Rattus norvegicus: one gene and its partner. The protein of the gene in region 1 interacts with the protein of each later gene in a biochemical or structural test. Links are inferred from orthologs where the notes say so. Each region holds a gene or a part of one and is shown in the gene's direction. Other genes may lie near its edges.

Region 1 (3,911 bases):
CCCATTGAAAGCCGTAAGACCGGACGGGAAGCGAGGAAGAAGTGGGTTTAAATTTGTAGTTCGGGTTCTCTTGAGAGCAGCTGGGCTTTCTTTTTTTGGGGGGGGGGGGGCTGAGGACCGAACCCAGGGCCTTGTGCTTGCTAGGCAAGTGCTCTACCACTGAGCTAAATCCCCAGCCCCGAGAGCAGCTGGGCTTTTCTTGGTCCTGCACATTGGTAAGATGCCCGCCACCTGAGGCAGGAAGACCGCGTTGATGCAGTCTCCGCGCGAAGGGTGTTGACTTATCAGGCTTCCTCGTCAGCACACCTGAGGGCCTCGCCTCTCCACCCCGGGCCCGGCCGGCATCACACAGTTGTTTTCCCCTCTTCCTTTTCTCCGCAGCTCTCCAGGAGAAGGAAGACACCCCGCGTGATTTTATGAGCCTCGATTCGTTTCCCAGCGCTCCCAGCGGCAGCTTGCAGGGCTTCTCACCAAGCCCGCACCAGGTTATCCCGCGCTCCGCCTCAACGCCCTGCAGACCCCTGCCCGGAAGCACTGCCTTCCATACAGTCAAGACGACCCTCGGTGGAACAGGGGCCACGGTTCCCAGTAGGGAGCTCGGTCTGTGGTGCAGATTGAGCATCCAGTCTCGCGGACCGCAATAATAACAATACCTCACTCGGGCAGCATGCTGTGCTCATTTGTATGCATGCATATGTGCGTGTGCGTGTGTGTGCACCTGACCCAGGAGGCCCGGGCTGGACAGCCTCCAAGTGCACGCCGGCTCTTAAAGGGAAGGGCAAGCATAGGCAACCAGGCGGTGGAACTCTTGGTCGGAGGGAAAGCAAAGTAGGGAGTGCCAGGCTTACACCAACAGGAAAAGAAAATCCTTTATTTCCTTCCCTGGAGCCCTACACAGCCATAGACACACCAGCTCCTTAGGTACCTGCTCGGATGGAAGGATGGGAAGGTCTTCCCCGCCCTCCAGCCGATGGCGTGGGGTGGGAGGGCAGGTCTGGGGCAGGAAGTTTCTGATTGGCCGAGTGGCTTTGGCAAGCTCCTGGTGCAAAGAGCTCCACGCCTCGCGGAGCTGGCTGGTGCCGTACGGCAACGTGGCGCGCCCCATCTACCTGGTCCCAGGCCCCGCCCCCCTGAGTGTCAGTGCACCCGGAGCGGCGGCCTAGGTGGGCGGGCCACGCGTCACTTCCGGTCCCAAGAAGCCTAGGTCCCGTACAGCAATATGGCCGCCCTCAGGTGCTGCAGGCGGAAACTCCGCGCCTTCCGGTCTGTTGTAGGGCCTGAGGTGGGGGTGGGGGAAAGGAAGGCGGAGGGAACTTTGCGAGGATTTGTGATCCGCGCTGAGGGGAGCCTCGAGAGACCGTTTCTGAGGTGGGGGCCAGGTCGTTCGTGGAGCCGGGGTGGCGGCGCAGGAGTTGGCGAAGGCGAAGGATCCGCACGGCCTGGCTGCGGAGTCTGAGGGGCGAGCTTGTATGGTACCTTGCTAGCCCTGAAGGGGAATGTGGCGGCCTAGGGCTGAACGCGGAGAGGGTTACTTGGCGGGAAGCTGAGGCTGGAGACTGTCCTCGCCTGGGGCTGGAAGCCCAGACATTGGGAATGCTGAGTGGTGGGCTTGCTGTCGGTTACGAGTCACAGAGAATGGGGAAAACCTGGGTGCGGTGAGAGGGAGGGGACTGGAGGTGAAAAATCTCCAGCCTGAAGTCCGGGTTTGTGGAAGGTGGAACATGGAGATGGTTGTAGGAGCGGGAAGGACACCAGGCTCTTCAGAGGGAAACCCTTTAACCTCGGAGTGGAAGAGTTGGAGTTAGGAAGAAGTCGGAGGGGACTGTGATGATGGAGGGCGAGAGGTGGGCAAACCCATGTGGTGGTATCGACTGGGTGTTGGTTTCTGTAGACGGAGAGAGCAGTGTGGGATCTTATACCCCATCGGATTGGGAGTAGGAAGAAAAAACTCACCAGCTGACAAGAGAGTGGGGAAAACGCAACCGAAAGACAGGAAATTGACTGGGGGCTGAAATTTGGGACTTGAGACGATCGATGGGGAGGTTCCCCTTCAGAACTGCCTGAGACTGATAGTTGCAAAAGACAGGCTTTGAAGACATCTCAGAAAGGACGAGGCTATTGTGAACCCTGAGGTATCTGACTGAGTGGGACTAAGGAGGAGGGGCTTTTCCTGAGTCACCCTTTCCCTTCCAGAATTCTGACCTTTCAAATACTTTTTCCCTCAGGGGGATTTGATCCCCCATGGCCACCGATGACAGCATCATTGTGCTTGACGATGATGATGAAGATGAAGCAGCTGCTCAGCCAGGACCCTCCAACCCAGCCTCTAATCCTGTCTCACCAGGACCAGAAGCCTCTGGTCCCTCTGAGTCCCATGGGGATGGAGGGAGCAGTAACTCAGGTAGCAGGAAGTGCTACAAGTTGGAGAATGAGAAGCTGTTTGAAGAGGTAAGCTTCAGGGAAGGCTCCCTTTCCTTTAAGAGAAGGGTCTCGCTTTGTGGCCCTGGTTGCCTGGAACTGTCTAGATGAGGCTGGCCTTGAACTCACAGAGTTCTACTTGCCTTTGCCTCCTGACAGCTGGGATTCAAGATGTGAATCACTGGGCTGGAGAGACAGCTCAGTGGTTAAGAGCACTGACTACCCTTCTAGAGGTATCGAGTTCAAATCCCAGAAACCACATAGTAGCTCACAACCATCTGTAATGGGATCTGATGCCCTCTTCTGGCGTCTGAAGACAGCTACAGTGTACTCATATATAGAATACATCTTTTTAAGAAAAGGATGTGGGGGTTGGGGATTTAGCTCAGTGGTAGAGTGCTTGCCTAGGAAGCGCAAGGCCCTGGGTTCGGTCCCCAGCTCCGAAAAAAAGAACCAAAAAAAAAAAAAAAGAAAAAAAGAAAAGGATGTGAACCATTATGATGTGATTGGGCAGATCCCAAGGAAAGGGGTGTTTGATTGGCTGATTGTTCTGGCTTCCTCACTGATTCCCTCTTTTTTTTTTTTTTTTGGTTTTTTGGTTTTCCCGTCCCTTCCCCCGAACCGTTTAGTTCCTTGAACTGTGTAAGATGCAGACATCGGACCACCCTGAGGTGGTTCCGTTCCTCCACAAACTGCAGCAGCGTGCTCAGTCCGCTTTTCTGGCCTCTGCAGAGTTCCGCAACATCCTCTCCAGGGTTCTGTCTCGGTCTCGGAACCGGCCAGCGAAGCTCTACGTCTACATTAACGAGCTCTGCACTGTCCTTAAAGCTCATTCCATCAAGAAGAAGTTGAACTTAGCTCCCGCAGCCTCAGCGGAATCATCGGGTGATAACCCTCCCACAGATCCCCCGTCTGACCTTACAAACACCGAAACCACTGCCTCTGAGGCCTCAAGGACTCGAGGCTCCCGGAGGCAGATCCAGCGCTTGGAGCAGCTGCTGGCACTGTATGTCGCAGAGATACAGCGGCTGCAGGAAAAGGAGTTGGATCTGTCAGAACTGGATGATCCCGACTCCTCCTATTTGCAGGAGGCCCGCTTGAAGCGGAAACTGATCCGCCTCTTTGGGCGGCTGTGCGAGTTGAAGGACTGCTCTTCTCTGACTGGGAGGGTCATAGAGCAGCGAATTCCTTACCGAGGCACTCGATACCCAGAGGTCAACAGGCGCATCGAGCGGCTCATCAACAAGCCGGGGCCTGACACGTTTCCGGACTATGGAGATGTGCTGAGAGCGGTGGAGAAGGCGGCGACCCGGCACAGTCTGGGCCTTCCCAGACAGCAGCTTCAGCTCCTGGCTCAGGATGCCTTCCGGGATGTGGGTGTCAGGTTACAGGAGCGCCGCCACCTGGATCTCATCTATAACTTTGGCTGCCACCTCACAGATGACTATAGGCCAGGTAGGAAGCTCCTGGGATGATTTCAGGTGGAACAGAGG
Region 2 (3,811 bases), on another chromosome or scaffold:
AAGCCAGACCACCCCCCCCCCAAAAAAAAAAAAAAAAGAAAAGAAAAAGAAAAAGCCTTGGGCTTTTCCAGGGCTTTGAGTCCATGCTGGCCTGTCTTCTAGGATGAGGCTGTGGAGCGGGAGACACCTGATCTTTCCCAAGCTGAGACTGAGCAGAAAATCAAGGATTACAATGGCCAGATCAACAGCAACCTCTTCATGAGCCTGGTGAGTTGTCTGCTTAGGAGTGTGGGGGAACAGGAGCCCAGCCTTGTGCCAGAGGTCCAGAGAGTCCGAGCCACGTATTTGTGGGTGGACCCAAGCAGCAGTCTATGCATACCTGTCTTTGCACTGCCCCAGGTGGACTCAGCCTACCTCAGCCATCTCCAGTAGAACTTCCTGACACGTGGCGTGGTTCTTTCTCTCTTTCTAGAATAAGGATGGCTCCTACACCGGCTTCATCAAGGTTCAGCTGAAACTGGTACGCCCTGTTTCAGTGCCTTCCAGCAAGAAACCGCCTTCCTTGCAGGATGCCCGGAGGGGCACGGGGCGGAGCTCAGCTGTGAAGCGCCGCACCTCTTTTTACTTGCCTAAGGATGCTGTTAAGCATCTGCACGTTCTGTCACGAACACGCGCGCGTGAGGTCATTGAGGCCCTGCTTCGAAAATTCATGGTAGTAGATGATCCTCGCAAGTTTGCACTCTTTGAACGAACTGAACGCCATGGCCAAAGTAGGTTTCCAGTCTTAAGTCTCCCTATGTAAGGGGGTATATACCACATATCTGTGCACTAAGGGGCTGAGGCATCAGGTTCTGCCTCTAACTGTTTATTCCCTCCACCCCCCCAACCCCGTCTGACCTCTAGTATACTTCCGGAAACTGTCAGATGAGGAGCAGCCCTTGAAGCTACGGCTTCTTGCAGGGCCCAGTGAAAAAGCCCTGAGCTTTGTCCTGAAGGAGAATGACTCTGGGGAGGTGAATGTGAGTACATAGCCTTTCTTACTCTTTTTTATCACTAGACAAAGCTAGTGGGGCATAGCTATGGTGGGAATTTCAGGAGAAACTGGCCTAGAGGCCAAACCCTGCACAGCTTCTCCAAGACTATGCAGGTCCTCAAGTGGAAGTCTAGAGCCCAAGCAAGGTCTAGAGCCCATCCCAAGAAACTAGAAGAAGCTGAGTCTAGTGAGTTGTTCATGTTCTAATCACTGTACTTGGGAGGCTGAGACTGGAGGATTGCTGTGAGTTTGGGATCAGTCTGAGCTACAAAAAAAAAAACAAAACAAACAAAAACTAAACAACAATAACAACAAAAAACACACAAGCTAGGAAGAATTGCCTTAGGACTTTGTTGTTTCCTGATGTTGAAAAACTACTCCAAGGGTTGGGGATTTAGCTCAGTGGTAGAGCGCTTGCCTAGCAAGCACAAGGCCCTGGGTTCGGTCCTCAGCTCCAAAAAAAAAAAAAAAAGAAAAGAAAAAGAAAAACTACTCCAAAGATTGAGGACTTGACCAACTCATGCTGAGCCAAGACAAGTTCAGAGCTACGTATTATGTGGGCTCAGAGACGCCTCCACAGTTAGGAGTGCTTGCTGCTTTTCCCAAGGACCATGTCCAGCAGCTCCCAAAGGATTTGACTTCCTCTGCTGGCCTCAGAGGGTACCTGTACTTATGTGCATGTAACCCCACTCTAACACACACACACCTAGAACAGTAGGGCAAGAACGATGACTCAGTGGTTAAAAGCACTCGTCGTTCATGCAGAGGACCTGGATTTGGTTCTTAGCACCCATGTAGAAGCTTACAACTGTCCATAATTCCAGACCATGCACACAGTGCACATATCTGCCTGCAGACAAAACACTTATCCACATAAAACAGTTTTTAAAAAAGACTTTGTGTATGATTCTTTTGCCTGTATGTATATATTTGTATATAGGTGTACACATGCCCAGAGGAGTCAGAAAAAGGTGTTGGCTCCCCTGGAACAGAGTTACAGATGATTGGAACCCACCATGTTGGTGCTGGAAATTGAACTCTGGTTCTCTGTAAGAGCAACCAATGTTCTTAACCATTGAACTGTCTCTCAAGCCCCTAAAACAAATGAACAAAGTTTCACAGGTATAACCTGGAAAACATAAAGGCCTCTTTGAAGCATTGGACAGACGTTTTAGCAGCACAGGCCTGTAATCTCATCTACTGGGGAAACTAAAGCAGAAGAATTGCCTAGAGTTCAAGACCAACAAACAAACAAGACATTCTTCCTAGCAAGGCCTAGTGACATACACTCTCCTTTAATCTCAACTACTTGGAATGCAGGAAGATCACTAGTTCAAAGCCTCCCTGGGCTACAGAGTGACTTAAGGCCAGTCCAGGTTAACTGAATGAGATCCTGTCTCAAACATAAAAGGCCTGGGGCTATAGTTCAGTGGTCAAGTACTCAGCATGCTTATCCCTTGGTTCATGTCTTAGTTAGGTTTTCTGTTGCTCTGATAAAACACCAAGACCAGAAAGTAAGTTGGGGGATTTGTCTTACACTTCCATATCATAGTCCATCATTGAAGGAAGTCAGGGCAGGAACTCAAACAGGACAGGAACCTGAAGGTAGGAGCTGAAGGAGGAGGCCATGGTGTGTGCTGCTTACTGACTTGCTCAGCCTGCTTCCTTATAGAACCCATGGCCACCAGCCCAGGGGTGGTACCTCCCCTATCAGTCACTCAGAAAATGCCTTACAGCCAGATCTTATGGTCGCATTTTTTTTTTCAACTAAGATTCCCAACTTTCAGATAACTTTAGCTCGTGTCAAGCTGACAGAAAACTAGACAGCACAGTGCAATTGCCAGTAATGCAAAAAATAAAAAATTTTTACCAAGGGGTTAGCTGTGGCGGTGGCGCAGTAGGGAGAATGGACGCTCAGCATCCACAAGGCTGGGCAGCAAAGATAAAGAAAATGTAGGGCGGGTGAGGGGGCTGTCTGGGAATGTAGCTTAGTGGGAAAGAAATGTAAAAGGTAACTGCTAACATTTATGACACCTTAGGTGTGAGTCATAGCCCATTGTATTGAGAGACAGACAGACAGACAGAGGATATGTGAGAGAGTGCACCTGACAACAGATAGAGATATTTCTCTACAAGGCAACTGTTTTCTCTGCAGACTGCTCACGAGGATCCTAGCACAGACTCTTTAGTCAAGAGCCTAACATCTAGCCTAGCGTAGTGATAAGTACTTGTAATCCAAGCATTCAGGAAGCAGAACAGGAGAATCACAAGTTTGAGACTAACCTGGCTACATAACAAGTTCAAGGCCAGCCTCTTATATGTGGAAAGACCATGACTCAAAAAACAACAAAAAAATAAGGGGCTTAAAGAGTTGGCTCAGGAGGGCTGGGGAGATGGGTCAGTGGTTAAGAGTACTGGCTGCTCTTCCGAAGGACATGGGCTCAATACCTGGGGTTCAGTTCACAGCTATCTGTAATTCCATTTCCAAGGGATCTGATACCCTCACATAGACATACATGCAGGCAGAACACCAATGTACATAAATTATAAAACCTTTAAACAACAACAAAAAGAGTTGGCTTAGTGGTTAAGAGTACATGTCGCTCTTATAGAGGACCTGGATTTGATTCCCAGCACCCAGAGGGCACTCACAACCATGTGTAACTCTTAACTCCAGGGGATCTGATACCTTCTTCTGACCTCTGTGTGGACATGCATACATGTGATACATGACAAAACACATGAGATAGTAACAAAACGAGGAGGGATGCAGAAGAAGGGACTGTCAGGAGGCCCTATCCTGCTTACGGGGACCATGAGGGACCAGTCTCTGAGGAG

The links.
Region 2: the proteins of Daxx (region 1) and Rassf1 form a complex in vitro, tested with the Homo sapiens proteins (4 studies listed by BioGRID and IntAct, with this or other methods). The link is inferred for Rattus norvegicus from reciprocal best matches to the Homo sapiens genes DAXX and RASSF1.

The regions. Positions count from the first base shown.
Region 1 is NC_086038.1:4,975,098-4,979,008, reverse strand, and holds the start of Daxx (death domain-associated protein 6), read left to right. Parts: upstream 1-1,288; 5' UTR 1,289-1,368; exon of another isoform or gene 1,369-1,472; intron 1,473-1,891; exon of another isoform or gene 1,892-2,132; intron 2,133-2,225; 5' UTR 2,226-2,241; coding exon 2,242-2,448; intron 2,449-3,047; coding exon 3,048-3,873; intron 3,874-3,911. UniProt on the Homo sapiens protein: Transcription corepressor known to repress transcriptional potential of several sumoylated transcription factors. Down-regulates basal and activated transcription.
Region 2 is NC_086026.1:117,110,060-117,113,870, forward strand, and holds part of Rassf1 (ras association domain-containing protein 1), read left to right. Parts: intron 1-102; coding exon 103-207; intron 208-412; coding exon 413-710; intron 711-843; coding exon 844-959; intron 960-3,811. UniProt on the Homo sapiens protein: Potential tumor suppressor. Required for death receptor-dependent apoptosis. Mediates activation of STK3/MST2 and STK4/MST1 during Fas-induced apoptosis by preventing their dephosphorylation.